Saccharomyces cerevisiae S288C: one gene and its partners. Changing the gene in region 2 together with the main gene of any one other region gives a genetic interaction. Each region holds a gene or a part of one and is shown on either strand. Other genes may lie near its edges.

The links.
Region 1: mutations in GAL3 (region 2) and LAP3 together harm fitness more than expected from each alone (negative genetic interaction), as found in Saccharomyces cerevisiae (one study listed by BioGRID).
Region 3: mutations in GAL3 (region 2) and YER137C together harm fitness more than expected from each alone (negative genetic interaction), as found in Saccharomyces cerevisiae (2 studies listed by BioGRID).
Region 4: of GAL3 (region 2) and GAL7, changing one enhances a phenotype caused by changing the other (phenotypic enhancement), as found in Saccharomyces cerevisiae (2 studies listed by BioGRID, with this or other methods).

Annotation. Positions count from the first base shown.
Region 1 is NC_001146.8:196,328-204,411, forward strand, and holds LAP3 (bleomycin hydrolase), read left to right. Parts: upstream 1-4,241; coding exon 4,242-5,606; downstream 5,607-8,084. Other genes in the region: ZWF1 (glucose-6-phosphate dehydrogenase), read right to left, coding at 99-1,616; iron-sulfur cluster assembly protein NAR1, read right to left, coding at 2,175-3,650; kexin KEX2, read left to right, coding at 6,101-8,084. UniProt on the Saccharomyces cerevisiae protein: The normal physiological role of the enzyme is unknown, but it is not essential for the viability of yeast cells. Has aminopeptidase activity, shortening substrate peptides sequentially by 1 amino acid.
Region 2 is NC_001136.10:459,376-467,905, forward strand, and holds GAL3 (transcriptional regulator GAL3), read left to right. Parts: upstream 1-4,058; coding exon 4,059-5,621; downstream 5,622-8,530. Other genes in the region: SOK1 (Sok1p), read right to left, coding at 1-1,872; phosphoribosylanthranilate isomerase TRP1, read left to right, coding at 2,467-3,141; YDR010C (uncharacterized protein), read right to left, coding at 5,676-6,008; ATP-binding cassette transporter SNQ2, read left to right, coding at 6,544-8,530.
Region 3 is NC_001137.3:438,428-445,648, forward strand, and holds YER137C (uncharacterized protein), read right to left. Parts: upstream 3,393-7,221; coding exon 2,946-3,392; downstream 1-2,945. Other genes in the region: GDI1 (Gdi1p), read left to right, coding at 1,189-2,544.
Region 4 is NC_001134.8:271,401-279,395, forward strand, and holds GAL7 (UDP-glucose:hexose-1-phosphate uridylyltransferase), read right to left. Parts: upstream 4,128-7,995; coding exon 3,027-4,127; downstream 1-3,026. Other genes in the region: KAP104 (Kap104p), read right to left, coding at 1-2,303; GAL10 (bifunctional UDP-glucose 4-epimerase/aldose 1-epimerase), read right to left, coding at 4,853-6,952; GAL1 (galactokinase), read left to right, coding at 7,621-7,995.

The DNA of each region.
Region 1 (8,084 bases), on a different chromosome or scaffold from region 2:
GAGGAGAAAAGAACAAAGAGAGTGAGCTTGCAAGATAAAATCACTCGAAAAAAAAAATTTCAGTGACTTAGCCGATAAATGAATGTGCTTGCATTTTTCTAATTATCCTTCGTATCTTCTGGCTTAGTCACGGGCCAAGCGTAAGGGTGCTTTTCGGGCATAACATACTTGTGTTTTTGCATATATTCCTTCAATCCCTTTGGACCTCTTGATCCGTAGGGGTAAATTTCCGGTGTTGGACCGTCCGGACGCTCTATGTGCTTCAGTAATGGGGTGAATATGCCCCAACTGATATCCAATTCGTCATCTCTGACAAAGTTGGAATGGTCACCCAGTAGGGCGTCTCTTATCAACACCTCGTAAGCCTCTGGAATCCAAAAGTCTTGGTACCTGCTTGCGTAAGTTAGATTCAGATCTGTGACTTGGGTAGCATTTGACAGACCAGGGGTCTTAGCATTAAACTTTAGGTACACAGCGGCATCGGGCTGCACTCTGATGACCAGTTCGTTATTTGGAATGTCTTTGAAGACACCCGATGCGACCGCTTTGTACTGCAGTCTGATCTCCACCTTGGACTCATTCAAAGCCTTACCGGCACGCATCATGATGGGGACGCCCTCCCAACGCTCGTTTTCGATGTTGAAAGTCATTGCTGCAAAAGTGACACATTTAGAGTCCTTGTCTACAGTGTCATCATCCACGTAGGCGGGCTTAGACCCGTCCTCAGATTTACCGTACTGGCCCAAGAGGACGTCGTCCGTGTCGATGGGGGCCACGGCCTTTAGAACCTTAACCTTTTCGTCACGAATAGATTCCGGGTCAAAAGACACCGGTCTTTCCATAGTCAAGAGAGTCATGATTTGTAACAGATGGTTCTGCATCACGTCTCTGATTATGCCTATAGAGTCGAAATAGCCGCCACGGCCTTCGGTGCCGAACCTCTCTTTAAACGAAATCTGAACGCTTTGAATGTTGTCTCTATTCCACGAGGCATTCAAAAACTGGTTACCGAACCTCAAGACTAAAAGATTCTTGACCAACTCTTTACCCAAGTAATGGTCAATTCTGTACAACTCTTCTTCTTTAAAGAGGGGCCCCAGGTTTTTTTGCAGCTCCCTGGCAGAGGCCAGGTCGTGGCCGAAAGGTTTCTCTACGATTACACGGGTGATGCCATTCTCTGCGTACACACGACTCTTGATCTGCTTGGCCACCGTCAAAAAAACGCTTGGCGGCAAGGCCAGATAGAAGAGACGGTGTGGGACATCGACGTTGGCACTTTTCTCGAATTTCTCGATCTGCGTTCTTAATTCGTCGAAGCCTTCATCTGTGTCGTAATTTCCCGAAATGTAGCTGACCATCTTGAAGAACTGTTCGACCTTAGAGTCATCGGCTTCACCGTGAGGTTTTTTCAAGTGGGGTAGGACACGGGACTTCAGGTCCTCCTCCATGGACAATTTGGACCGGGCATAACCGAAGATCTTGGTAGATGGATCAAGGTAACCTTCTCTGAAAAGCCCAAATAAGGCGGGAAAAGTCTTCTTCTTTGCCAGATCACCTGACGCACCAAAGACAGATATGACGGTATTTTTTTCGAATTTGACGGGGCCTTCACTCATCTTGCCTTATGTGGTTTTCTATTCTATTGGATTTACTCTTTCTGTCTATACAGCCAATTGGAGAGGGGGAAGGGGGAGAAGGAGGGGTGAGTGGAGAAAAGGGAGAGAGGGGCAGGAGGAAGCCACTTTAGGTGTTATGTGTCGGTATATAGATGAACCCACAGTTTGCTTATATATGGGATAGCCTTGGCGAGTTTTCCGTACATTGAAGAATTCGCCACCCTTAGAAAAGGGGCCACCACACCTTGAGCCAAAAATCCCACATTAATAATATTCCATTTTTTTTTTAGTCATTTTTTTTTTTTTCGTCTCTCTTCCTCCTCCGGCCGAGCCGAAACCGGGCTTTTAGCACCGTTGGAAGCTTGTATCTCCGCGTAAGACCGCCGGAGTATGCATCTTATAGCGGTTTTTCCAGTTCTTTTCCACTATTACGTGGTGCTTCCAGTAGCGCTACTATTATTGTTGTTCTTGCTATTATTTAAATGTCACTATGTACTTGATACACACAGTTTGTGGTGATTTCACGCTTATGTACACGGGTGCAAAACTACACCTTACTTACCAGGTGCTCCCAACAGAGACGAGATCCTTTTCGACGGCCTGCTTGACGGGCGCGAAGACGTACTCTAGCGAAAGCGGGCGGGCTGCCGCCTCTTCTAGCTTGGGTCCCAGGGTTAGAGGATCTACCATTGCTAGCTCCTCTCCGTGACGCTTATTCAGTGTCTGAACCAACTGCTTCCGCTTGAGACTGTTTTGCTCGCCATTGAGTAGGCCACCACCGTTCATGCATGCACCCGGACACGCGTTTACCTCGATGTAGTCCGAGTGGTAGGGATCGGCCGTGGCGGCCGTGGCGGCCGCCATCTCGCGTGAGTTCGCCTTTGGACCTGTTCGTCTCTTCCGCAGAGCGGTGATGTTCCTCTTGCGCTCTGACCCGGAGCCCGAGGTCAGTTTACGCACCAGATTTTGGATGTTTCTAAACCCGGAAAGCTCGCTGGCGGCGGCTATTATGCGATCATCGTGCAGCAATCGGTACTCGACAATGTCGCTGTTTCTACCCTCCAGAACTATCATCTGACTTCCTGGGTGTAGTCGTTGGACAGCCGTTACGTACTGGTAGGCATAGCCACCACAAGTGCCTCCCAGATTCGACGCCCAGTGGACTCGCGGGTCCCATCCCGGCGGTGATAGCCGCCCATATAAACTTGTGTCCTCAGTAAGAAACGACTTGAAGTCTAAATTCAACTCTTGTAACATTGTCACTATTTCACGTGGCGTAATGACACAGTCAATCCCATCGTCAAGCGATTCTGGCCTTGACGCTTCTAGTTTCTTGTCAAAACATGGCATCAGCGACAGATGGTAAAAGGACTCACGCGCGATAGCGAGACTCTCGAACGTAGCTCTGATCAACGAGCCCGTAATTTGCTGAGGCGACTTGACATTGAGCAGCATAGGCACCAACTGCGGTTTGGTCTTTTCCGTGTATATAAGAAATCCCGGACACACAGCAGATAATAGAGGCTTGCGGTCCGCACCGGTATTTTCTTTTTGTTTCTTATGCGCAATGATCTTCTCTACGGTTTTGCTAATCGATATGATTCTGCCCATCTCCGTTCCAACCATATACTTGCACTGGAAATGCTTTTGGAAAAAATTCATCAAACACAAATCGGCCGCCTCCAATGTTAAGCCGTAGTACTGCGCAAGAGATAGTCTGCATTGTGGCGAGACACTCACAACGAGGAATTTGTCTTGCTGCTGCGAAAGCTTCCCCCAGTTTTTCAGGAAAACCGAGTGACTTTGGCTACTCAACAAGATTTCTTCACTAGACGTTATACAACCAGAACACGCGAGGCAGTCTGATAGGGTAATAGAGACCTTCTCCAGTTGGTCTGGTTCCGTGCTCACCTCGTATTCTCCGTTCATGTTAACGTTATCCTTCTTGCCCCCGCTCACCTGGGTAGGTTTGACGCACGCAAGGGCGGGACTGATAAAATCGTTTAGGTCAGACTCGGACAGTAGAGCACTCATGCTTTCTTGTACACTTATCTTGTCACTCAGGAAAAGGAAGCTCCCTCTCTTATCTTTCCAGCTGACAAGACAAGTTTCTTAGTCATCACCATAAAACGCTTTTATCATTTTTTTCTTCATGCGATGAGCAGGGAAAACTGGTAAAAAAAGAAAATAGGAAGTGGAAAAGAAAAAACTAGCGGAAAGGCAGGCAATATGCTTTACAAACAGGCAAATTTTGTCTCTTAATCCTGTGAAGAGGCATCGTATATTCAGTGCTTTTTGAAATTTAGAAAATAGTCGCTTTATTGATTATGCTACATATGTTATTTTGCTTTAGTATGTGTCAAATAGCATGCAATCGCCGGGTAGTGAGTGACACATCCTTTTTTCCCCTCCCACCAGAAAGTCACCTGCTCTCTTAATCAATGGGGTTGCATGTGGTAATCAATTGATAACGCCGGCTGACAAGTCGCCGACGGGCACCCATAAATAAACGATAAATAGCCCTTGCTCTTTTGTTACATGCTTCCTACTTCTGTTTCCCGGTCCTTGTATCTCAAGACGTTTAGAAGCCACCTTTTACGAGCACCACAAATTGTTTTAAAAAGAATGTCCTCTTCCATCGATATCAGTAAGATCAACTCTTGGAACAAAGAGTTTCAATCCGACTTAACCCATCAATTGGCAACCACTGTCCTTAAGAATTATAATGCCGATGATGCACTGTTGAACAAGACTAGACTGCAAAAGCAAGATAACAGGGTTTTCAACACTGTTGTCTCTACTGATTCCACTCCAGTCACCAACCAAAAAAGCTCTGGTAGATGTTGGTTGTTTGCCGCTACCAATCAACTGCGCTTGAATGTTCTTTCTGAATTGAACTTAAAAGAATTCGAACTGTCCCAAGCTTACTTGTTCTTTTACGATAAGTTGGAAAAGGCCAACTATTTCTTGGACCAAATCGTCTCCTCGGCTGATCAAGACATCGACTCACGTCTCGTGCAATACTTGTTAGCAGCTCCAACAGAAGACGGTGGCCAATACAGCATGTTTTTGAACCTAGTCAAGAAGTATGGCCTTATCCCCAAAGATTTATACGGGGATCTACCTTATTCTACTACTGCGTCCAGAAAATGGAATTCTCTGTTGACTACTAAACTGAGAGAATTTGCCGAGACTCTAAGAACAGCTTTGAAAGAGCGTTCTGCCGATGATTCCATAATTGTCACTCTGAGAGAGCAAATGCAAAGAGAAATCTTCAGGTTGATGTCGTTGTTCATGGACATACCTCCAGTGCAACCAAACGAGCAATTCACTTGGGAATACGTTGACAAAGACAAGAAAATCCACACTATCAAATCGACTCCGTTAGAATTTGCCTCCAAATACGCAAAATTGGACCCTTCCACGCCAGTCTCATTGATCAATGATCCAAGACACCCATATGGTAAATTAATTAAGATCGATCGTTTAGGAAACGTCCTTGGCGGAGATGCCGTGATTTACTTAAATGTTGACAATGAAACACTATCTAAATTGGTTGTTAAGAGATTACAAAATAACAAAGCTGTCTTTTTTGGATCTCACACTCCAAAGTTCATGGACAAGAAAACTGGTGTCATGGATATTGAATTGTGGAACTATCCTGCCATCGGCTATAATTTACCTCAGCAAAAGGCATCGCGTATTAGATACCATGAAAGTTTGATGACTCATGCTATGTTGATCACTGGCTGCCACGTCGATGAAACGTCTAAATTACCACTTCGCTACCGCGTTGAAAATTCCTGGGGTAAAGACTCCGGTAAAGACGGATTATACGTGATGACTCAAAAGTACTTCGAGGAGTACTGCTTTCAAATTGTGGTCGATATCAATGAATTGCCAAAAGAGCTGGCTTCAAAATTCACCTCAGGTAAGGAAGAGCCGATTGTCTTGCCCATCTGGGACCCAATGGGTGCTTTGGCCAAATAAATAGTTTCAGCAGCTCTGATGTAGATACACGTATCTCGACATGTTTTATTTTTACTATACATACATAAAAGAAATAAAAAATGATAACGTGTATATTATTATTCATATAATCAATGAGGGTCATTTTCTGAAACGCAAAAAACGGTAAATGGAAAAAAAATAAAGATAGAAAAAGAAAACAAACAAAGGAAAGGTTAGCATATTAAATAACTGAGCTGATACTTCAACAGCATCGCTGAAGAGAACAGTATTGAAACCGAAACATTTTCTAAAGGCAAACAAGGTACTCCATATTTGCTGGACGTGTTCTTTCTCTCGTTTCATATGCATAATTCTGTCATAAGCCTGTTCTTTTTCCTGGCTTAAACATCCCGTTTTGTAAAAGAGAAATCTATTCCACATATTTCATTCATTCGGCTACCATACTAAGGATAAACTAATCCCGTTGTTTTTTGGCCTCGTCACATAATTATAAACTACTAACCCATTATCAGATGAAAGTGAGGAAATATATTACTTTATGCTTTTGGTGGGCCTTTTCAACATCCGCTCTTGTATCATCACAACAAATTCCATTGAAGGACCATACGTCACGACAGTATTTTGCTGTAGAAAGCAATGAAACATTATCCCGCTTGGAGGAAATGCATCCAAATTGGAAATATGAACATGATGTTCGAGGGCTACCAAACCATTATGTTTTTTCAAAAGAGTTGCTAAAATTGGGCAAAAGATCATCATTAGAAGAGTTACAGGGGGATAACAACGACCACATATTATCTGTCCATGATTTATTCCCGCGTAACGACCTATTTAAGAGACTACCGGTGCCTGCTCCACCAATGGACTCAAGCTTGTTACCGGTAAAAGAAGCTGAGGATAAACTCAGCATAAATGATCCGCTTTTTGAGAGGCAGTGGCACTTGGTCAATCCAAGTTTTCCTGGCAGTGATATAAATGTTCTTGATCTGTGGTACAATAATATTACAGGCGCAGGGGTCGTGGCTGCCATTGTTGATGATGGCCTTGACTACGAAAATGAAGACTTGAAGGATAATTTTTGCGCTGAAGGTTCTTGGGATTTCAACGACAATACCAATTTACCTAAACCAAGATTATCTGATGACTACCATGGTACGAGATGTGCAGGTGAAATAGCTGCCAAAAAAGGTAACAATTTTTGCGGTGTCGGGGTAGGTTACAACGCTAAAATCTCAGGCATAAGAATCTTATCCGGTGATATCACTACGGAAGATGAAGCTGCGTCCTTGATTTATGGTCTAGACGTAAACGATATATATTCATGCTCATGGGGTCCCGCTGATGACGGAAGACATTTACAAGGCCCTAGTGACCTGGTGAAAAAGGCTTTAGTAAAAGGTGTTACTGAGGGAAGAGATTCCAAAGGAGCGATTTACGTTTTTGCCAGTGGAAATGGTGGAACTCGTGGTGATAATTGCAATTACGACGGCTATACTAATTCCATATATTCTATTACTATTGGGGCTATTGATCACAAAGATCTACATCCTCCTTATTCCGAAGGTTGTTCCGCCGTCATGGCAGTCACGTATTCTTCAGGTTCAGGCGAATATATTCATTCGAGTGATATCAACGGCAGATGCAGTAATAGCCACGGTGGAACGTCTGCGGCTGCTCCATTAGCTGCCGGTGTTTACACTTTGTTACTAGAAGCCAACCCAAACCTAACTTGGAGAGACGTACAGTATTTATCAATCTTGTCTGCGGTAGGGTTAGAAAAGAACGCTGACGGAGATTGGAGAGATAGCGCCATGGGGAAGAAATACTCTCATCGCTATGGCTTTGGTAAAATCGATGCCCATAAGTTAATTGAAATGTCCAAGACCTGGGAGAATGTTAACGCACAAACCTGGTTTTACCTGCCAACATTGTATGTTTCCCAGTCCACAAACTCCACGGAAGAGACATTAGAATCCGTCATAACCATATCAGAAAAAAGTCTTCAAGATGCTAACTTCAAGAGAATTGAGCACGTCACGGTAACTGTAGATATTGATACAGAAATTAGGGGAACTACGACTGTCGATTTAATATCACCAGCGGGGATAATTTCAAACCTTGGCGTTGTAAGACCAAGAGATGTTTCATCAGAGGGATTCAAAGACTGGACATTCATGTCTGTAGCACATTGGGGTGAGAACGGCGTAGGTGATTGGAAAATCAAGGTTAAGACAACAGAAAATGGACACAGGATTGACTTCCACAGTTGGAGGCTGAAGCTCTTTGGGGAATCCATTGATTCATCTAAAACAGAAACTTTCGTCTTTGGAAACGATAAAGAGGAGGTTGAACCAGCTGCTACAGAAAGTACCGTATCACAATATTCTGCCAGTTCAACTTCTATTTCCATCAGCGCTACTTCTACATCTTCTATCTCAATTGGTGTGGAAACGTCGGCCATTCCCCAAACGACTACTGCGAGTACCGATCCTGATT
Region 2 (8,530 bases):
AATTATACTTCTAATGCAAATATTGTAGACATCAGGGATAGTGATAGAACTTGGATTTCTAACAAGGCCAGCGGTAACATTTTCGTTGAATTTTTTATCAAACCAAAGTAGGGAAGTATTTAAATTCACCCTTTTAGAGGCTATAAGAGTGTTGAAATACTGTTTCTCAAATTCTACAGCATTACTTAACAGAGCTGGCCTTAGTATTCTTATTTGATGATTGGCAATATCCAATTTCATTGTTTCCAAAATTTGAAAAACCAACCTTAAACCTTCTATTAACCTTGTTAAAGAAGAGTCTCTTTCAGCTTCTTTAAATTTGTTGCTCATTTTATCCACCCATGGGTCCCTCATGGGGGCACAATGATGTTTAAATAAATCAGCCAACCAGCCTGACAAGTTAGACATTATCAGAGAACCTTTCAATAGTTCTTGAATGTTCAATTCTGTGTCCAGTACATTATTTATCATCGGAGACTCTTTTTGTGGGACTATCGTTAACAATACATCCCTTAAAGTGTCAAAAAGTGGGACTAGTCTTGACCTGTTATATTGGAATATTTCAGGCCTCTTAGAGTAAACATAAATTTCATTTTGAACATCATTCCAATAGATATTCGCCAATTGTCTTTTTTTATTCCCTCTTTCGCCATCAAGATTTGGCCTGAATTGTAGTAGCGGGTCGAATATTATATCATGTCTTAGTTGTGGGTTTTTCAGAATTTCCTGTAAGTCAATCTCTTTTAAGCCCTGCAAATTTATAGGAGGAAATGGAACAGGCGTTGGAGTAGCCTTTATGTAGTTTATTCTATCTTCCAAAGTTAAGTCAAAGTTTGAGCTTGATAGGAAGCTTTGATTTGTCATTGAAGTGGCAGTGGAATTATTAATGTTGTCATTATTAGCGTTAGTGCTTGCGTTACCTGATATTTGTTGATTTAAAAAAATTGCGCGCTTTAATGAAAGAGGGTTTGAACTGAGAGGATTATTAGAATGCAAATATGGTTGATGATGGTTTCTAGAAAATTTTTTCTTTGATATGCCGGAAGGAGTTGGATGATTTAAAAGAATATTTTGATTACGATAGTATTGATTGTGGGATGATAATTTTCTTAAAGAAGAATGCAAAATAGTGGGTACGGAATGCGACCTCATTTTTTTATTTGAAAAGATCCTTAAAAAGTTAGAAGCATTTCCTGGTGGCTGTTGTTGTGCTGCTTGTTCTTTGTGTGGTTCCGTTGCTGGTGGCAATTGCGGCGCGGATGCAGACGGTGGTTGCTTTGACGACGGTGGTGGGGAGGGAGATGGATTGTTGATATTAGTATAAATATTCTTTGGGGGTATCGAATCAACTTTATTGTTCCTCCTTATTTCTTCTTCATTATCATCGTTTTTCAAGAATTGACCAGTCTTGGTGTCGAACGTCTTGAATATAGTATTGTCCCTGTCTATAGGGATCTTCAAATCACTACTATTAGCTGAATTGCCACTGCTATCGTTGTTAGTGGCGTTAGTGCTTGCATTCAAAGACATGGAGGGCGTTATTACGCCGGAGCTCCTCGACAGCAGATCTGATGACTGGTCAATATATTTTTGCATTGAGGCTCTGTTTGGAATTATATTTTGAGATGACCCATCTAATGTACTGGTATCACCAGATTTCATGTCGTTTTTTAAAGCGGCTGCTTGAGTCTTAGCAATAGCGTCACCATCTGGTGAATCCTTTGAAGGAACCACTGACGAAGGTTTGGACAGTGACGAAGAGGATCTTTCCTGCTTTGAATTAGTCGCGCTGGGAGCAGATGACGAGTTGGTGGAGCTGGGGGCAGGATTGCTGGCCGTCGTGGGTCCTGAATGGGTCCTTGGCTGGTCCATCTCTATTCTGAAAACGGAAGAGGAGTAGGGAATATTACTGGCTGAAAATAAGTCTTGAATGAACGTATACGCGTATATTTCTACCAATCTCTCAACACTGAGTAATGGTAGTTATAAGAAAGAGACCGAGTTAGGGACAGTTAGAGGCGGTGGAGATATTCCTTATGGCATGTCTGGCGATGATAAAACTTTTCAAACGGCAGCCCCGATCTAAAAGAGCTGACAGGGAAATGGTCAGAAAAAGAAACGTGCACCCGCCCGTCTGGACGCGCCGCTCACCCGCACGGCAGAGACCAATCAGTAAAAATCAACGGTTAACGACATTACTATATATATAATATAGGAAGCATTTAATAGAACAGCATCGTAATATATGTGTACTTTGCAGTTATGACGCCAGATGGCAGTAGTGGAAGATATTCTTTATTGAAAAATAGCTTGTCACCTTACGTACAATCTTGATCCGGAGCTTTTCTTTTTTTGCCGATTAAGAATTCGGTCGAAAAAAGAAAAGGAGAGGGCCAAGAGGGAGGGCATTGGTGACTATTGAGCACGTGAGTATACGTGATTAAGCACACAAAGGCAGCTTGGAGTATGTCTGTTATTAATTTCACAGGTAGTTCTGGTCCATTGGTGAAAGTTTGCGGCTTGCAGAGCACAGAGGCCGCAGAATGTGCTCTAGATTCCGATGCTGACTTGCTGGGTATTATATGTGTGCCCAATAGAAAGAGAACAATTGACCCGGTTATTGCAAGGAAAATTTCAAGTCTTGTAAAAGCATATAAAAATAGTTCAGGCACTCCGAAATACTTGGTTGGCGTGTTTCGTAATCAACCTAAGGAGGATGTTTTGGCTCTGGTCAATGATTACGGCATTGATATCGTCCAACTGCATGGAGATGAGTCGTGGCAAGAATACCAAGAGTTCCTCGGTTTGCCAGTTATTAAAAGACTCGTATTTCCAAAAGACTGCAACATACTACTCAGTGCAGCTTCACAGAAACCTCATTCGTTTATTCCCTTGTTTGATTCAGAAGCAGGTGGGACAGGTGAACTTTTGGATTGGAACTCGATTTCTGACTGGGTTGGAAGGCAAGAGAGCCCCGAAAGCTTACATTTTATGTTAGCTGGTGGACTGACGCCAGAAAATGTTGGTGATGCGCTTAGATTAAATGGCGTTATTGGTGTTGATGTAAGCGGAGGTGTGGAGACAAATGGTGTAAAAGACTCTAACAAAATAGCAAATTTCGTCAAAAATGCTAAGAAATAGGTTATTACTGAGTAGTATTTATTTAAGTATTGTTTGTGCACTTGCCTGCAGGCCTTTTGAAAAGCAAGCATAAAAGATCTAAACATAAAATCTGTAAAATAACAAGATGTAAAGATAATGCTAAATCATTTGGCTTTTTGATTGATTGTACAGGAAAATATACATCGCAGGGGGTTGACTTTTACCATTTCACCGCAATGGAATCAAACTTGTTGAAGAGAATGTTCACAGGCGCATACGCTACAATGACCCGATTCTTGCTAGCCTTTTCTCGGTCTTGCAAACAACCGCCGGCAGCTTAGTATATAAATACACATGTACATACCTCTCTCCGTATCCTCGTAATCATTTTCTTGTATTTATCGTCTTTTCGCTGTAAAAACTTTATCACACTTATCTCAAATACACTTATTAACCGCTTTTACTATTATCTTCTACGCTGACAGTAATATCAAACAGTGACACATATTAAACACAGTGGTTTCTTTGCATAAACACCATCAGCCTCAAGTCGTCAAGTAAAGATTTCGTGTTCATGCAGATAGATAACAATCTATATGTTGATAATTAGCGTTGCCTCATCAATGCGAGATCCGTTTAACCGGACCCTAGTGCACTTACCCCACGTTCGGTCCACTGTGTGCCGAACATGCTCCTTCACTATTTTAACATGTGGAATTCTTGAAAGAATGAAATCGCCATGCCAAGCCATCACACGGTCTTTTATGCAATTGATTGACCGCCTGCAACACATAGGCAGTAAAATTTTTACTGAAACGTATATAATCATCATAAGCGACAAGTGAGGCAACACCTTTGTTACCACATTGACAACCCCAGGTATTCATACTTCCTATTAGCGGAATCAGGAGTGCAAAAAGAGAAAATAAAAGTAAAAAGGTAGGGCAACACATAGTATGAATACAAACGTTCCAATATTCAGTTCTCCGGTCAGAGATTTACCAAGGTCTTTCGAACAAAAACATTTAGCGGTTGTAGATGCATTTTTCCAAACATACCATGTCAAACCTGATTTTATCGCTAGGTCTCCTGGCAGAGTAAATCTGATTGGTGAGCATATAGATTATTGCGATTTTTCAGTTTTGCCATTAGCCATTGATGTGGATATGCTTTGCGCAGTTAAAATTTTAGACGAAAAAAATCCATCCATTACCTTAACAAATGCGGACCCTAAATTTGCTCAGCGAAAGTTTGATCTGCCTTTAGATGGTTCCTACATGGCCATAGATCCGTCTGTGTCGGAATGGTCGAATTACTTTAAATGCGGACTACATGTGGCACATTCATACTTGAAAAAAATTGCTCCGGAAAGATTTAATAATACACCCTTAGTAGGTGCGCAGATCTTTTGCCAGAGCGATATTCCTACTGGTGGTGGACTCTCATCTGCATTTACTTGCGCGGCAGCACTAGCCACAATTAGAGCCAATATGGGAAAAAATTTTGATATTTCCAAAAAAGACTTGACCCGCATCACAGCGGTTGCTGAGCACTATGTTGGAGTCAATAATGGTGGTATGGATCAAGCAACGTCTGTTTATGGGGAAGAAGATCATGCTCTATACGTAGAGTTTAGGCCAAAACTAAAGGCCACACCTTTCAAGTTTCCTCAATTGAAAAATCATGAAATCAGTTTCGTCATCGCCAATACTCTTGTAAAGTCTAATAAATTCGAAACTGCTCCTACAAATTACAATTTAAGAGTAATAGAGGTAACAGTTGCTGCCAACGCCTTGGCGACCAGATACAGCGTGGCCTTACCATCTCACAAGGACAATTCTAACTCAGAAAGAGGGAATCTAAGAGATTTTATGGATGCTTACTACGCCAGATACGAAAACCAAGCCCAACCATGGAATGGAGATATCGGAACTGGTATTGAACGTTTACTCAAGATGCTACAATTGGTAGAAGAATCTTTCTCGAGGAAAAAGAGCGGATTCACTGTACATGAAGCCTCTACGGCGCTAAACTGTTCACGTGAGGAGTTCACTAGAGATTACCTGACAACTTTTCCCGTCCGCTTCCAAGTCTTGAAACTATATCAAAGAGCTAAACACGTTTACTCCGAATCCTTAAGGGTGCTTAAGGCTTTAAAAATGATGACAAGTGCCACTTTTCACACGGACGAAGATTTCTTTACAGATTTTGGCCGACTAATGAATGAGTCCCAGGCCTCTTGTGATAAACTTTATGAATGTTCGTGCATAGAAACCAATCAAATATGCTCGATTGCCCTAGCAAATGGTTCTTTCGGCTCCCGTCTCACTGGCGCTGGTTGGGGCGGTTGCACTATCCACCTTGTTCCTAGTGGCGCTAATGGGAACGTGGAACAGGTACGAAAAGCACTAATCGAAAAATTCTACAATGTAAGATATCCGGATCTCACAGATGAAGAACTAAAAGACGCAATTATAGTTTCGAAGCCTGCCTTGGGTACTTGTTTGTACGAACAATAACACTAAACACCTTCTTGGAACAACCTTTAAATATTAAAAGTTTACTCATACCTCTTACACTCTATAAAGAAACAAGTTGGTGAGTCCAATAGAACCCATTCCAGCATCCGATGCAACCATAGCCCGGTTGATGCGAGTCAGAGTGGCTCCGCACACAGAGGTTATGTGACCATGGTAACCGTACACATTTTTCCACGGCAAGGAAGTGGCGCGAAAGAAGCACCGCCCTCCACGGATCACCCCATTTGGAAAAGAACGGAGACATAAAAAAAAATTACCTTCACGCCAGACTATGTATGACTCGTAGAAATCTAGCATCCGCGGAGCTATTTTAAGTTTCCGCGGATGCCTTTCGATCCTTTCCCAGTCGTCTGGTTCCGCGCACATATGACTAAATGTCCGCCCATTTCCGTTTAAATCCGTTTTCTATTTTCTTTAGGTCTTTCCATTGTATTCCCTGCAACCCCGCTGGGTATTGGTATTACTAATAGTGACTACGCAACATCAACATATAAAACAAATGATGAGTAGTGCCCCTCCCTCACCGCTATCGCCTCACCACTTTTTATGCTTGTATATGCTTGTAGATAAATAAATACCTAACGAAAACAATATATACGAACCTAGTGTATTTGTATCTTTTGTTTTTCAAGTTGAAGTGTTGCGAGGTCAAAAAAAAAAAAGCTCACTGTAGGATATAGGAGTTACTATATCACCAGTGCATTACATTCTCAGTGCATCCATCGTCTTCAACATTGATTATTTTCTCCTTCCATTGATTAGAGTTCAAGCTCCCTGAGAAAACGAAGGTATAGCGGACGTACCCGCAGAGACATAAAAAAAGAAAAACTATATCGAAGACCGAAAGCAGTAAAAAAGTGGATAGAATAACACAGCTACCAAAATACGTAAAGAGAATTCAATGAGCAATATCAAAAGCACGCAAGATAGCTCTCATAATGCTGTCGCTAGAAGCTCAAGCGCTTCTTTTGCAGCTTCAGAAGAATCATTTACGGGCATAACCCATGACAAAGATGAGCAGAGCGATACCCCGGCGGATAAACTAACAAAAATGCTGACAGGACCTGCAAGAGACACTGCGAGCCAGATTAGTGCCACTGTGTCTGAAATGGCGCCAGATGTCGTATCTAAAGTGGAGTCATTTGCAGATGCACTATCCCGTCATACAACGAGAAGCGGTGCCTTTAATATGGATTCAGATAGTGACGATGGGTTCGATGCCCATGCCATCTTTGAAAGTTTTGTAAGAGACGCTGATGAGCAAGGCATCCATATCCGCAAGGCTGGTGTTACCATAGAGGACGTAAGCGCTAAAGGTGTGGATGCGAGTGCCCTAGAAGGTGCTACCTTTGGTAACATTCTTTGTTTACCGTTGACCATCTTTAAAGGTATTAAGGCTAAGAGGCATCAAAAGATGAGACAGATCATAAGCAATGTCAATGCCCTGGCAGAAGCGGGTGAAATGATTTTGGTTCTTGGAAGGCCTGGTGCTGGTTGTTCCTCCTTTTTAAAAGTAACAGCTGGTGAAATAGATCAGTTTGCCGGTGGTGTTTCCGGTGAAGTAGCATATGATGGTATTCCCCAAGAAGAAATGATGAAACGATATAAAGCAGATGTTATTTACAATGGTGAGTTGGATGTTCATTTCCCTTATTTAACAGTTAAGCAAACTTTGGATTTCGCTATTGCCTGCAAAACGCCTGCTCTCAGAGTCAATAACGTTTCCAAAAAGGAATACATTGCATCCAGAAGAGATTTATATGCAACCATTTTCGGTCTAAGGCATACCTATAATACCAAAGTTGGTAACGATTTCGTTAGAGGTGTATCTGGTGGTGAACGTAAGCGTGTTTCCATTGCCGAGGCTTTGGCAGCCAAAGGTTCCATTTACTGTTGGGATAATGCCACTAGAGGTTTGGATGCGTCTACGGCCTTAGAATACGCAAAAGCCATCCGTATTATGACAAACTTATTGAAATCAACCGCTTTTGTTACAATTTATCAGGCAAGTGAAAACATTTACGAAACATTTGATAAAGTCACTGTCCTTTATTCTGGTAAGCAAATTTATTTTGGTTTGATCCACGAGGCAAAACCTTATTTCGCAAAAATGGGTTATTTGTGTCCTCCAAGGCAAGCAACAGCTGAATTTTTAACCGCGTTGACTGATCCAAATGGATTCCATCTGATCAAGCCAGGTTATGAAAATAAAGTACCAAGAACCGCTGAGGAATTCGAAACATATTGGTTAAATTCTCCAGAGTTTGCTCAAATGAAAAAAGATATCGCTGCTTATAAAGAGAAGGTCAATACCGAAAAGACTAAAGAAGTTTATGACGAATCGATGGCTCAAGAGAAATCCAAATATACGAGAAAGAAGTCTTATTATACAGTGTCATATTGGGAACAAGTTAAACTGTGTACCCAACGTGGGTTCCAAAGAATTTACGGTAACAAGAGTTATACAGTCATCAATGTCTGCTCTGCAATAATTCAATCTTTTATTACTGGATCATTATTTTACAATACCCCTTCATCCACTTCCGGTGCTTTTTCAAGAGGTGGTGTGTTGTATTTTGCGCTACTATATTATTCTTTGATGGGACTGGCGAATATTTCTTTTGAACATAGGCCAATCTTACAAAAGCACAAGGGCTATTCTTTGTATCATCCTTCAGCTGAGGCAATTGGCTCCACTCTGGCATCTTTCCCCTTCAGAATGATTGGTTTGACCTGTTTCTTTATCATTTTATTCTTCCTATCTGGGTTGCACAGAACAGCGGGATCATTTTTTACCATCTATTTGTTCTTAACCATGTGTTCAGAGGCGATCAATGGTTTATTTGAGATGGTTTCTTCAGTATGTGACACTCTTTCTCAAGCTAACT
Region 3 (7,221 bases), on a different chromosome or scaffold from region 2:
AATAAACTAAGATTCACTTTATTGGGATATAATCAATTACCCTTCATTAAGTGGTGTATATGTTCCTGACGTATTGTCATTTTCGGGATAAGAGGTTTGATGACTATTTCTCGATTTTCATGTCATCCTCTTTACACCGTACGTGATAATACACTAATTACACGATATAACTGAGCAATGATATTTTAGAGCTTCATCTCCACAATTTCATGTGTAAATCTTAAGAATTGTAGATATATTCTATTTTTTAATGAAACTTTTTCAACAAATTAGGTTTCGTGGTCTAGTCGGTTATGGCATCTGCTTAACACGCAGAACGTCCCCAGTTCGATCCTGGGCGAAATCAATTTTTTTTTTCGAAAACGTTATAATTTACGTTAATTTACAAAGGGCATTCCTTTCATACTAAGCAATGTTTACTTCCAATCTCTTGAGACATCTTCGAAACTAGTTGAAAAGAGACAAATCCGCTTAATAACTAATAGTTACAAGAATGGCCAATCAAACTCTTGCCAAGCGATACAAGCTTTACAATCCTGTAACAAAAACATACTTTTAGCGGTTCCGACGGTATTCTTCTTTTTCTCCATATATTTTGCTTATGTTGGCTACTTTAAAATAATTACCGCTTCCCCCACCAGAAACTAAACATGAGCTAAAGGCGCAAAACTTAAAAAATTACATAGCCAAGACTGTTTTCAAGAAAAAAATATCAGACCACATTTGATAAAGTACATACCTCTGTTAACTCCCGTAATACACCCATATTCTTGTACTTTCTACAATCTATCACTCAAACTTCTCTATTATCCAACATCTGCTGTTGCATAGTAAAGTAGGCCGTAAACGCTCAAAACCGTTATCTTTAGGTTACCCTTATGTTTGAATCGTTTATCTCACATTGGCGGTGTTTTCCCCTCTCCTGTGGGCTCCAAAATCTTGGCCGTGGGAAGCTTCAGCGAGGGATTGTAGATGTAGTTTCAACACGTCGGCTGATTTATCCCGATTTTGTTAGTAGAAAAGGTTCTACTTCATTCTTGCTTGAGACGTCGTCCCATCAAATTTCTAACATAGTCTTTTTTCAAGGAAGGATATTTTTCAAAGCAGGACTGCAATTAGTCTTTTCCTTTTCTTTACTCCCCTTCCATCATAACTGTTAGTGAATAACCACTTATATAGCATAACACAATGGATCAAGAAACAATAGACACTGACTACGACGTGATTGTCTTAGGTACCGGTATTACCGAATGTATCTTATCTGGTTTACTCTCTGTAGATGGAAAAAAGGTATTACATATTGACAAGCAAGACCATTATGGTGGCGAAGCTGCTTCTGTGACCTTATCTCAATTGTATGAAAAATTTAAACAAAATCCGATCAGTAAAGAGGAACGGGAGTCCAAGTTTGGTAAAGATAGAGATTGGAATGTCGACTTAATTCCTAAATTCCTGATGGCCAATGGTGAGCTGACAAATATTTTAATACATACCGATGTGACCAGATATGTCGATTTCAAGCAAGTTTCTGGCTCCTACGTTTTTAAGCAAGGCAAAATTTACAAAGTGCCAGCTAATGAAATAGAAGCCATTTCATCGCCATTGATGGGTATTTTTGAAAAACGTAGAATGAAGAAATTTTTAGAATGGATTAGCTCTTACAAAGAAGATGACTTGTCCACTCATCAAGGATTAGACTTAGACAAGAATACCATGGATGAAGTGTATTATAAATTTGGGTTAGGCAATTCTACCAAAGAATTCATCGGTCATGCAATGGCTTTATGGACCAATGATGACTACTTACAACAACCTGCTAGGCCATCGTTTGAGAGGATTTTGTTATATTGCCAAAGTGTTGCCCGTTACGGTAAATCACCTTATTTGTATCCTATGTATGGGTTAGGCGAACTTCCACAAGGATTTGCTCGTTTGTCGGCTATTTACGGTGGTACTTACATGCTAGACACTCCAATTGATGAAGTATTGTATAAAAAAGACACAGGAAAATTTGAAGGGGTCAAGACTAAGCTGGGAACTTTCAAGGCCCCATTGGTTATTGCTGATCCAACTTATTTTCCCGAAAAATGTAAATCTACTGGTCAAAGAGTTATTAGAGCCATCTGTATTCTTAACCATCCAGTTCCGAACACCAGTAACGCGGATTCTTTACAAATTATTATCCCACAAAGCCAACTGGGAAGGAAAAGCGATATATACGTTGCGATTGTTTCAGATGCGCATAACGTTTGCTCCAAGGGTCACTATTTAGCAATTATTTCTACAATCATTGAAACTGATAAACCACATATAGAATTAGAGCCTGCTTTCAAACTTCTGGGACCAATCGAAGAAAAATTCATGGGAATTGCCGAATTATTTGAACCAAGAGAAGACGGCTCTAAGGATAACATTTACTTATCCAGATCATACGACGCATCCTCTCATTTCGAATCCATGACTGACGATGTTAAAGATATTTACTTCAGAGTAACAGGCCACCCATTAGTTCTAAAACAAAGACAAGAACAAGAAAAGCAGTAAATTCATACCTTTACGACTAAAGCAGCAATTGGAGGGTAAACTTATTTTTTCCGATAATGTTCTTGGCAAATGAGTTACCAATAAATGACATGAATTACAGAAAACAAGAAAATATTTGCCAAAAAAAAACCAATACAAAAATATAGGGGAAAAGATTATCCTTTATTCCTTTCTCATTCCACTTTTTTTTTTTGTTATATGCGTATTCTGATTGATTCATAACTAAGTATCTTTCCTTTTCTTTTCTTTCAATTTCTTTTTTCCATATATAAATACATAAATTTACATACCTTATGTAGTATAATATATGGAAGAATGCTACTGAACACATCAGTACACATGCTATGTACTTACAATCTTAGTAAGGTAGATGTAGGTCTAATGCTTCGATGATCCCTTCATTATTTCTTGGGTATAACTGTCAGTCTCGCACCGCAGTGTGCCCTTGTGTGGCCAGCCTCGTGACAAAATGAACATTTTATCTTATTTTTTTTCTTTTTACTACTCTTTTTGCTGGTTACTCCCTGAATAGTGCTCGTAGTTTTATCTGCCTCTTCCTTGGCTTTAATCGGTATCAGGGCATATTTTTGATCGTCTTTTTCCATGATCTCTATTCCATTCCGCAGTACCATGTCAAGAACACTAGTATTCATCATACTTCCCACAGTGCTTTCATGCAATCCCAGTAGTAGGTTAATGAATTTCTCTAATTCTTTCAACTTATGCTCGTACTCAACTTGTAATTGTGATCCATCTTTTTGCTTTGAAATGATCAACTTAGCCAGGACATCCATAGCTTGTGACAATCTGACTATATCATTTTCAGTCTTATTTGATGATTCACACATTCCTTGTTATAACAACCCTCGGTATTCTTTTAACAAACTTACGATGACTATATTGTATTAGTGTCAACCTCATCGCCAGGAACTTTTCATTGAAAATCTTCTGACAAATTTTCTGTGTAAAGGAAAGAAAATGGAGTATAAAATCGAAAGTTTATTCCAATTGTGCTAGGCTGTAATGGCTTTCTGGTGGGATGGGATACGTTGAGAATTCTGGCCGAGGAACAAATCCTTCCTCGCGGCTAGACACGGATTGCACGCCCTTTGGGCAAGGGATAGTTCTCTATTCCGCACCGTGCCCTGTTGTGGCAACCGTCTTTCCTCCGTCGTAAATTTGTCCTGGGCAGAGCTGTCTGCCCGGAGGCGGGAGAGTCCGTTCTGAAGTGTCCCGGCTATAATAAATCGATCTTTGCGGGCAGCCCGTTGGCAGGAGGCGTGAGGAATCCGTCTCTCTGTCTGGTGCGGCAAGGTAGTTCTGGGTCCTTAGGGGCTCCACCTTCACCGCTGTTAGGGGAGTTTTATCCAGCGTCAGCAAAGGTGACCCGTGATGGAGGCGGCCGGGATAGCACATATCAGTCGGATAATTGTGCAAGTTGATCGCTTCGGCGGTTTAATTTGGCGGTGCCATCAGGATTTACTCGCACATTGTGGCCGTTCCCTCGGGGATGGAGTGTGTCCTGAACCATATTTTTTAACATTTTTTTGAACTAATTAACCGTCCCAATGAGGGATGTTGGAAGAGTAAGTTGATTTAATGTCCTATTCTTGTTCTTTTCGAATATAAATGACGATTGGAAGGTGCATGTCAATGTTTATCATCATGTTCTTGTTGTAGGTAGTCCTTACCTTGGTTGTAGAGTGAGTAGCGACAGGCGGCAGCGGAATATAAGAAGGATAAAATGAGAATACTTAGAACGTGTTGAAAGAAGAATAAACGATCATCCATCGACTAGTACTGCTGCTACTAGTGTGCTGTCATACTACTAATATATTATCATATACAATATAAGAAGATGTCATAAACATTGAAAATAGTCATCAAATCTAATGGAAGCTGAAATTCAAGGGTTGATAATGTAATAAAATAAAGAATGACAAAGTATAAAAGGAAGAAGATAGAGTAACATTATTATGTAGAGCTATCAATTCGCTTTTTGTAGATTCCTATTTTTTCTCGAGGAGAATTGCAGCATATTCGTTCCACGTAATATTGCGGCCTTTAACAACAATGTAATTCCAACAATTATCTTAAAATTTGTCTATATTTTTAAAAAAGTATGAACAATTACCAACATGTGGTACATATTGGAGGCCCGCAAAGCTGAGTTGGCATTCATTCATTCTTTAAGTTGAACAAAAAGACAAAAAGATTTTCAAAAAAAATATGGTCTCTAGCGGGATCGAACCGCTGATCCCCGCGTTATTAGCACGGTGCCTTAACCAACTGGGCCAAGAGACCAAATTTTAATGAAATACTTTTACTGGAAAGAAGGTAACAAACCATGGAAGATGCTTTTCTACCACCCATGAAAGTCTGAGATTTTTATTAATGATGTTGGAATAAAAATCAACTATCATCTTGAGAAATGGGTGAATAATTAGATAATTGTTGGGATTCCATTGTTGATAAAGGCTATAATATTAGGTATACAGAATATACTAGAAGTTCTCCTCGAGGATATAGGAATCCTCAAAATGGAATCTATATTTCTACATACTAATATTACGATTATTCCTCATTCCGTTTTATATGTTTATATTCATTGATCCTATTACATTATCAATCCTTGCGTTTCAGCTTCCACTAATTTAGATGACTATTTCTCATCATTTGCGTCATCTTCTAACACCGTATATGATAATATACTAGTAATGTAAATACTAGTTAGTAGATGATAGTTGATTTCTATTCCAACATACCACCCATAATGTAATAGATCTAATGAATCCATTTGTTAGTTAATAGTTTAAATGTTTTTATCGGAAGAGGTTTTGTCATCACATCAGCAATGTTCTTCTTGGTCTCGATGTAGTATACGTATAAATTATTACCTGATACTTCATCTCTAAGTCTCATTGCCTTTGTGCCAAAAAATCTGTTTCTAAATTTCTCTTCATTTGTAGACTTAATTATACTGATCGTTGATCTACTATCAGTAAGTAAGCCTTTAATAATTGGTTTCTTGTTAAGTTCTTGTATCAGGTAACTTAGATTATTTAATAATGGGACAGATTCACTTATCGCGTGTATTTCTGCTTCCGTAGTTGAAGTACATGTTAATGAAGCCTTGGTGGACTTTCCTCCAATTACCTTTCCATTAAGTAAATATATGTTGCCAATTTGTGATTTATAATACGGTTGGTTGCCATACGAAGCATCACTTATTGCGACTAGTTTATTATCTGGCTCGGTAGGTTTGTTTTTGTGCCATATCAGTTGTTTATCTCTAGTGTCCCACATGAATTGTATCAACTCATATGTCATGTCTAAAACTTGCCTAGAGGGGAATAGTATATGTTGAGCAAGTGTGTTGATGTAGTATAGTAAGTCAAATCTAAATTTATATCCAACATATGAAGCTAGACCAATCAACTTTTGCATTTCATGTACCTTCTCTTTGTATTCATCTTCATCTATTTCTAGTTCATCCTGGTCTATATAAAGACCTGGTTGACCTGGAGCGCTAAGTTTTCTTCCTTTTGGATTCAAAGGTACGTTTAATTTGGGTATTTTCTCAGTTAATGAGTTTTCCATACCTAATTTCATGTATTTACCTCTTTGATATTTGATTTCTAAGCCAAGTATGTCGTACTGAATTTCGTTATCACTTTCACCCAGATTTATTATCTTTGTATCGTATTGTTTCTTGAGTGTTGTTATGATTTTCTTATTTGCATTTAAGTCTTTGCTGAATAAAATCATGTCGTCAACAAATAAACATATTGTTACTTGACTATTCTTAAATACGCATGACCATCCACGAACTTCTTCCATACCACACTGTTTTATCAGGTATGATTTGATAGTTTCGTACCAGTTCGCTCCACTTTGTTTCAATCCATAAAGTGATTTCTTCAAACGTATCAACTTATCATTCATTCCTAAATGTGGTGGAGGTCTTATGTATAATTCTTCTTTGATGTCTGCATACAAATATGCCGAAGATATGTCTAATTGTGTAATATAGTAGTTATTGTCTAATGCAAGTGACAGGGATGTCATTAATGCATAGTGATGTACGGTATTGGATTGCATGCCTGAGTCGTAAGTGTCAGGATGCTGAATATCACCTCTTGCAACAAATCTAGCTTTATGAGTACCGTCACGTTTCTTGTTGAAGATAAACATTGAGTTTATTACTCTTTTAGGGTCTATTTCTTTTCTGTCATAATATTCGTCAGTGTCCCAAGTTTTCATCTTCAACAGTTGATTGACTTCTTTGTGGTATGCCTCGATATATTTTTCTTTTTCTTTAATATCTTTATTATAGGTGATTGCCTCATCGTATCGTAAGGTTGTCCGTATTGGTTTGATTGATTTTACTGCTTTTACAGCTGCAATCAGGTGAATTCGTTTCTTCGATCTCGGAGGTTCTAAACTACGCATATTCTTAGTATTCCATGTGTCTCGTGATACCTTAATTTCAGTTTCATTATCTTCTAATGATCTTTTCTTACTGTTGATAGTAGTATAGGCATTAGAGTCACCAATACCACCCAAACTGGAATTAGTTTGATGAGAATTTATCGGTGGGAGTTCTTTAAATGGGTCAGGGAATTCGGTAGGAGATTCTGGAGGTAGATCAGGGAGTGGGAGATCAGCGATGATAGA
Region 4 (7,995 bases), on a different chromosome or scaffold from region 2:
TCGCTTATCAAACCAAGCGCCCATATCGCATTTATCACAGCAGGAGTACCATCACTATCGTCGTTATGCATTATTTCCGTACCAATCAACTTCAAGAAATCCTCCAAATTACCAATTACCAGTTCCGAATTGAAAAAATATACAATATCTCCCAACAGGGCAAAGCAGCTTTGTCTTACTTCATGGACAGGGTCCTGCAAACATTCTAGCATGATTTTCAATATCGTTAAATCCTTCGTCCCTTGAGGGAACAATAGATCCTGCGAGTGAGCGCCAAGACCTTGTACCAATCCATCAATCAAATCTAATGAGGTGATGATGAAGTCCTTCTCAGGCACTACTATTGTCGGGTCTTGATGTGATTTGGCTTCCAATTCGACACAATGACATAGAATTCTAAAGGCTCTGTTGTACACTTCTGGTGCCATAGGCATGAATCTTTCCCCCAGTGATGATGCCACGCAGGAAAGACATTCTAAAAGTGGCCACAGCTCCTTGTCACTGTCTGACAGCAAAGCCCATTTTTCAATTAAGGGCGGCAAAATTATTTGCATCGCTGTCTCGTCTAATGCACATTTTTCAGCAAACCTGCCGATGGCATCATATAATATAATTAAATTCTTTTTCTTGTAATATTTCAAACATTTATCAAAACTCGTCAATAATTGACTATAAAATAAAGTTTCAACCAATTCGGAGTCGGCGTTTTCAATAAATACTGCTACACTACTAATAGCCGCCTCTTGAACATCCTTTTTCTTGTCCATTAATGTGTTTATTATAGGTTCTAAGACTGGAATTAAAAACTCAGTATGGTCTTGTAATATCCATGGTGAAAACCTACTTAATGTCCAACATGTCATTTTCCTCACTGGTGCCCACTTATCGTTCAATTGTTCCACTAAAAATGGTATTAGTGCTGGTAAGCCATCATTAAAATACTTCATTCCACCTTCTGCCATGGCCCCCAGTGCTAATATAGTAGCTTCTCTAATAAACCACCTATCAGAACCCAAATGTTCTCTTAAAAATGGGAACGCTATATCCATCACTTGATGAGGTAAAATATTCGTCATTACATCTAGCGTTGCCGCGGAACATTTTCTCAAATTCCATTGCGTATCAACATCGCCATCTTCATCATCATCATCATCATCATCATCTTCGTTGTCATCTGCATCCTCTCCATTTCCTGCCTCTTTCTTTTTCACAATACGGGGTGCAATGGGCTTGATGTCCTCATCTTTATCCTCCAAGAATGCATCATCATCATTAGAAGCTTCCAGGAGAACGATGGATTCTTCGTTATAGACCATTTTCGATAATAATATTGGCACGATATCCTTAACATATGGTTGTAAGATATGTTCAGGAATATTTGGGCTCGTTGCAAAGGCGTGCAAAAACTCGCAGGCTTCAATAGCCACTTTTTCCTCATTTACAGTGGTGATCAAATGCAACATGAATTGTACAATACCATCTAAATGGGAAACCAGCTTATCTGGTCTGAATTCCAATAAGAAACTAAAACTAATGCAAATCTGTGCCCTAACTAGGTCGTTTTCGTCGTTTTGTGCCAACTGAAAAATAATTTCTAAGAATTTATCTAATCTCACAATAAAACTTTGTGTTTGTAGCGGGATCACTGTATTTATACATTTCACCGATTCTGAGCGAATCACAGGTGAGAAATTTGGATTCGAAATAAACCTAAAAAAACTATCCAATAAGGCTTCCATAGGCTTCGTATTTCCCGACCATTCCAATTGGAAAAATTGAGCGCTGTCTTCCATGATCTTAGATAAAGCCTTAATACTTGGCTCATTTCCATTTGAGGTTAGCTCTAGCAACTGGTAAAGCATTTGAAGACCAGTTGGATCATCTCTATGCTGCCTATAGTAAGTGGAAAATAAAGTAGTAATAACGATACCTGTCACGTTCGAAACGAGATTATTGTTCGAATTATAAAGGCCATGTATAATGTTTGATTTGACGTATCCTAAGTCGTGGCTATTGCTCTTAATTAAATTGTTTCCCCCTAGCATTGAATTTTTCAACAGCATACCGGCGGTAGCTCTATTGTTCTGAAGATCCTGTAGGGAGTAGTGTTGCTTCAATACATCATCAGATTCGCCTTCAATTAAAATATAACACAAATAATTGAGAAATTCAGGTTGCAGCTGGAAGTTCTCCATAGCTTCCATTGCGTTATTACGAATCTCTGGATTTGGTGACATACAGTTCTGTAAAAGAGTTGCTAGTTGCAACACATAGTCTTCGGCGGGCTTCCATGTCGATGCCATCTTTATTCACTTAACTACTGCTAACAATTCTGAAAACCAAAGACTGCGGAATATTCTGATATGTATTATTACTATTCACTGCTCTTCTGCATAATTAATACTGAAAAGTTTTTCATACTTTTAAACATAACCTTTTTTTAAGCAAAACTCTATAACCCGGATCAGAAAACTACGAAAAGAGGGTAATAACATAGGTGCAGGATTTCCATCGATAACGACACCGACAATGAGCCTTGCTGCAACATCCAATTAGGACTAATAACTATCGTAGGAATTTCTACGTAATAAACTTCAACAGAGCCTAAAATTTGAAAATAAATAATCTAGAGGGGAAACTTAAAGAAATTCTATTCTTGTCAATAAAGTGGAAATGTGTCAGATGTCACAGTTTCTTTATTTGTGACACATATTTTCAACATAAATTCAGGCATTAGTGCTTTTATAAGCATAAGAAGTTGTGGCGATATGAATATTCCAGATTTTACTTACAAGCTGCATTGTATTCCTAAAATTCTTTTTTCTTTTTTTTTTTTTTTATGGAAAGGACCACTCTTACATAACTAGAATAGCATTAAGAATCAGATTTACAGATAATGATGTCATTATTAAATATATATATATATATATTGTCACTCCGTTCAAGTCGACAACCAATAAAAAATTTAAAAGAAACCAGGCAGTTAATAGAAAAAATATGATATGAATGAATATTCCACTTTCTTTTTACAGTCTTTGTAGATAATGAATCTGACCATCTAAATTTCTTAGTTTTTCAGCAGCTTGTTCCGAAGTTAAATCTCTTTGAGGCTCACCTAACAATTCAAAACCAACCAAGAATTTCCGAACAGTAGCTGATCTCAGTAAAGGTGGGTAGAAATGCATGTGAAACCAACTATTACTCAATTCATCACCAGTCGCATTCAAAGGAGCCTGATGGATACCCATTGAGTATGGGAAACTCGTTTCAAATAAATTATCATACTTAATAGTTAGTTGCTTTAAAATCGAGGCGAGGTCCTCCTTCACCATTTGGTTAAATTGGCTAATTGAGGCAAGCTTCTTCTTTGAAATGACCAAGGTCTCAAATGGCCAGATGGCCCAGTATGGAACAACAACAATAAAGGATTCATTCTCCACTACGACTCTTGACTTCTCTCTTGATTCTAATTTGACGTAATCGGCAAACAAATCAGTATTGTGTTCACGTTTATATTTATCAAAAGATTTCAATTCTTGCGAAACTTCACTAGGGATGGATTCTAAGCACCAAGCTTGGCCATGTGGATGTAAGTTGGAACAACCCATGGCTGTACCTTTGTTTTCAAATATTTGGACATATTTGAAAGGCTTATGATTTTCTCTTGCTTCTCTGGAGAGATCGTCAGTCAATGCTTGCCAAGAATTAACAATATGAACCAGATCTGATTGTTTCATTTGTGGAATGGTTAGATTATGATTGGGGCTAAAACATATGACGAAACAATTGCCTCTCACAGATTGCACTTTAAGCAGCCTATTTTTAAGATTATCCTCATTGGAATCATTCTGTGGTAAAATAGGTTGATCGAGCCTAACGGCAGCATAATCATTGGGGAAAATATACGTTGATTCATATCTTGGGTTTAGGTTACCAGTAGCTCTTTTGTTACCAGGACATAGATAGCATTTTGGATCATACAATGGAGCTGTGGGCTTGTAAGCAGCCTCCTGTTGACCTAACCAAGGTCTTTTAGCTCTGTGTGGAGAAACTAAGATCCATGAATCGGTTAGTGGATTGTAACGTCTATGGGAATGGCTAGAAAAATCAAATTCTTCAGCAGTCATTTTTGAGGGAATATTCAACTGTTTTTTTTTATCATGTTGATGCTCTGCATAATAATGCCCATAAATATTTCCGACCTGCTTTTATATCTTTGCTAGCCAAACTAACTGAACATAGCTACACATTATTTTCAGCTTGGCTATTTTGTGAACACTGTATAGCCAGTCCTTCGGATCACGGTCAACAGTTGTCCGAGCGCTTTTTGGACCCTTTCCCTTATTTTTGGGTTAAGGAAAATGACAGAAAATATATCTAATGAGCCTTCGCTCAACAGTGCTCCGAAGTATAGCTTTCCAAAAGGAGAGGCAAAGCAATTTAAGAATGTATGAACAAAATAAAGGGGAAAAATTACCCCCTCTACTTTACCAAACGAATACTACCAATAATATTTACAACTTTTCCTTATGATTTTTTCACTGAAGCGCTTCGCAATAGTTGTGAGTGATATCAAAAGTAACGAAATGAACTCCGCGGCTCGTGCTATATTCTTGTTGCTACCGTCCATATCTTTCCATAGATTTTCAATTTTTGATGTCTCCATGGTGGTACAGAGAACTTGTAAACAATTCGGTCCCTACATGTGAGGAAATTCGCTGTGACACTTTTATCACTGAACTCCAAATTTAAAAAATAGCATAAAATTCGTTATACAGCAAATCTATGTGTTGCAATTAAGAACTAAAAGATATAGAGTGCATATTTTCAAGAAGGATAGTAAGCTGGCAAATCAGGAAAATCTGTAGACAATCTTGGACCCGTAAGTTTCACCGTTTTTCAAGGTTACACAATCTTTCCAGTTCTCTTGATTGATAGCATCAATGTATCTACCAGGCTCAATTGCAAAACCTTGTCTTGCTTCGTAACCAGCAGACAAGAAATCACCGGTATAAAATTGATAAGTTGGCTCTGTACTTAAAACTTCTAATGTAATATTGGAATCGGGATGAAAAGCCTTGACAATAAGCGTCAATTCATTGTTTAGAGTATTGATTTGACTTGGCTTAGCATTTTCATCCACCACAAAACAACAATCAAACTGGGGATTTTTGGGGCCTAAGACCGTTGGCTTTGTAGAGTTAAAGGTAGCAATTTCTCTATCGACGATATTACCCGTAGGAATCATGTTTTTGTCGACATCAACAGATTTTTTTGAACGCACCATAATCTCCGTACCCTCAATAGTGTCTCCATATGGCTTGTTCAGATTGAAATAACTATGATTTGTTAAATTTATTGGCGTCGCTTCACCAGCAGTCAATTTACCTTTATATACCATTTCCAAACTTTTTTGGGCAACGTTCACAGTATACTGTATGGTTACCAATAGATCACCTGGAAATTCGGTGTCCTTCTCATTATCTATCAGCATGTACTCGGCGGTAAAAACATCCTTTGAAGGATTTTGAATGATGGGTCCCAAAAATCTTTTTCTGTGGAAAGAACCGATACTACTATGATTCGCATTAACGCCGTTATTAACGGTTAACTGATAGTCTTTGTTGCATAAACTAAACTTACCCTTCGAAATACGATTAGCATACCTGCCGATCGTGGCGCCTATATAAGCACTATCAGGATTCAAATACCCTTCCTCATTTTCATAGCCAAGAACAACTGATTGTCCGTTCACTTTCAGGTCAACAATGCTGGCGCCCAAATTGGCAAACGTGGCTTGAAATCTGGTGCCGGCACCAATAGTCACAAATCTTGCGTCATAACGCATATCTTCAGCGGAAAATCTGGCCTCGACACCCCTTAACTGGTAACCAAAAGGATTCTCAGTAGTCCATTTCCATAAATCCTTGCAGGAGTCTTCAACCTGCAACTCGGTCTGCCATTTCAGTTCGCGTTTGGCCCTATCTGGTTTAGCCGTCAAGTTCAAAACATCACCTGCTCTTCTGCCCGTAACTTTGTATGGAAGATCAATACCAGAAGCTTTGCAGAATGCATGATAAACTTCAAAAACTGTAGAACCTTTACCGGAACCCAAGTTCCACTCACGACACAAACCTTCATTTTCATTGTAGGCCTCTAGGTATTGCAGGGCTGCAATATGACCTTTTGCTAGATCAACTACGTGGATATAATCCCTGATCGGGGTACCATCTCTGGAATCATAATCGTCTCCGAAGATGTAAAGCTTCTCGCGCCTACCAACAGCTACTTGAGCCATATATGGCAACAAATTGTTTGGTATACCTAGCGGATCTTCTCCGATTAATCCAGAGGGATGTGCGCCAATTGGGTTAAAATAACGCAAGATAGCAAACTTCCAACTTTTTTTGTCGCTATTGTAAAGATCATTCAAGATATTCTCAATGGCGTATTTCGTATGACCATACGGATTAGTAGGCCCTAAGGGACATTCTTCTGGGATAGGAATCATATTTGGGAATCTCGTAGCATCACCATAGACAGTAGCAGAAGATGAAAAAACAAATTTGGAAACGTTGTATTGTTGCATTAACTCTAATAAAACGACAGTTCCCAAAATGTTATTGTGATAGTATCTCAGCGGGATTTGTGTAGATTCACCTACAGCCTTTAAACCAGCAAAGTGAATTACCGAATCAATTTTATATTCTTTGAAAACCTTTTCCAGACCTTTTCGGTCACACAAATCAACCTCATAGAAGGGAATGTGATGCTTGGTCAAGACCTCTAACCTGGCTACAGAATCATAAGTTGAATTCGACAGGTTATCAGCAACAACACAGTCATATCCATTCTCAATTAGCTCTACCACAGTGTGTGAACCAATGTATCCAGCACCACCTGTAACCAAAACAATTTTAGAAGTACTTTCACTTTGTAACTGAGCTGTCATTTATATTGAATTTTCAAAAATTCTTACTTTTTTTTTGGATGGACGCAAAGAAGTTTAATAATCATATTACATGGCATTACCACCATATACATATCCATATCTAATCTTACTTATATGTTGTGGAAATGTAAAGAGCCCCATTATCTTAGCCTAAAAAAACCTTCTCTTTGGAACTTTCAGTAATACGCTTAACTGCTCATTGCTATATTGAAGTACGGATTAGAAGCCGCCGAGCGGGCGACAGCCCTCCGACGGAAGACTCTCCTCCGTGCGTCCTCGTCTTCACCGGTCGCGTTCCTGAAACGCAGATGTGCCTCGCGCCGCACTGCTCCGAACAATAAAGATTCTACAATACTAGCTTTTATGGTTATGAAGAGGAAAAATTGGCAGTAACCTGGCCCCACAAACCTTCAAATTAACGAATCAAATTAACAACCATAGGATGATAATGCGATTAGTTTTTTAGCCTTATTTCTGGGGTAATTAATCAGCGAAGCGATGATTTTTGATCTATTAACAGATATATAAATGGAAAAGCTGCATAACCACTTTAACTAATACTTTCAACATTTTCAGTTTGTATTACTTCTTATTCAAATGTCATAAAAGTATCAACAAAAAATTGTTAATATACCTCTATACTTTAACGTCAAGGAGAAAAAACTATAATGACTAAATCTCATTCAGAAGAAGTGATTGTACCTGAGTTCAATTCTAGCGCAAAGGAATTACCAAGACCATTGGCCGAAAAGTGCCCGAGCATAATTAAGAAATTTATAAGCGCTTATGATGCTAAACCGGATTTTGTTGCTAGATCGCCTGGTAGAGTCAATCTAATTGGTGAACATATTGATTATTGTGACTTCTCGGTTTTACCTTTAGCTATTGATTTTGATATGCTTTGCGCCGTCAAAGTTTTGAACGAGAAAAATCCATCCATTACCTTAATAAATGCTGATCCCAAATTTGCTCAAAGGAAGTTCGATTTGCCGTTGGACGGTTCTTATGTCACAATTGATCCTTCTGTGTCGGACTGGTCTAAT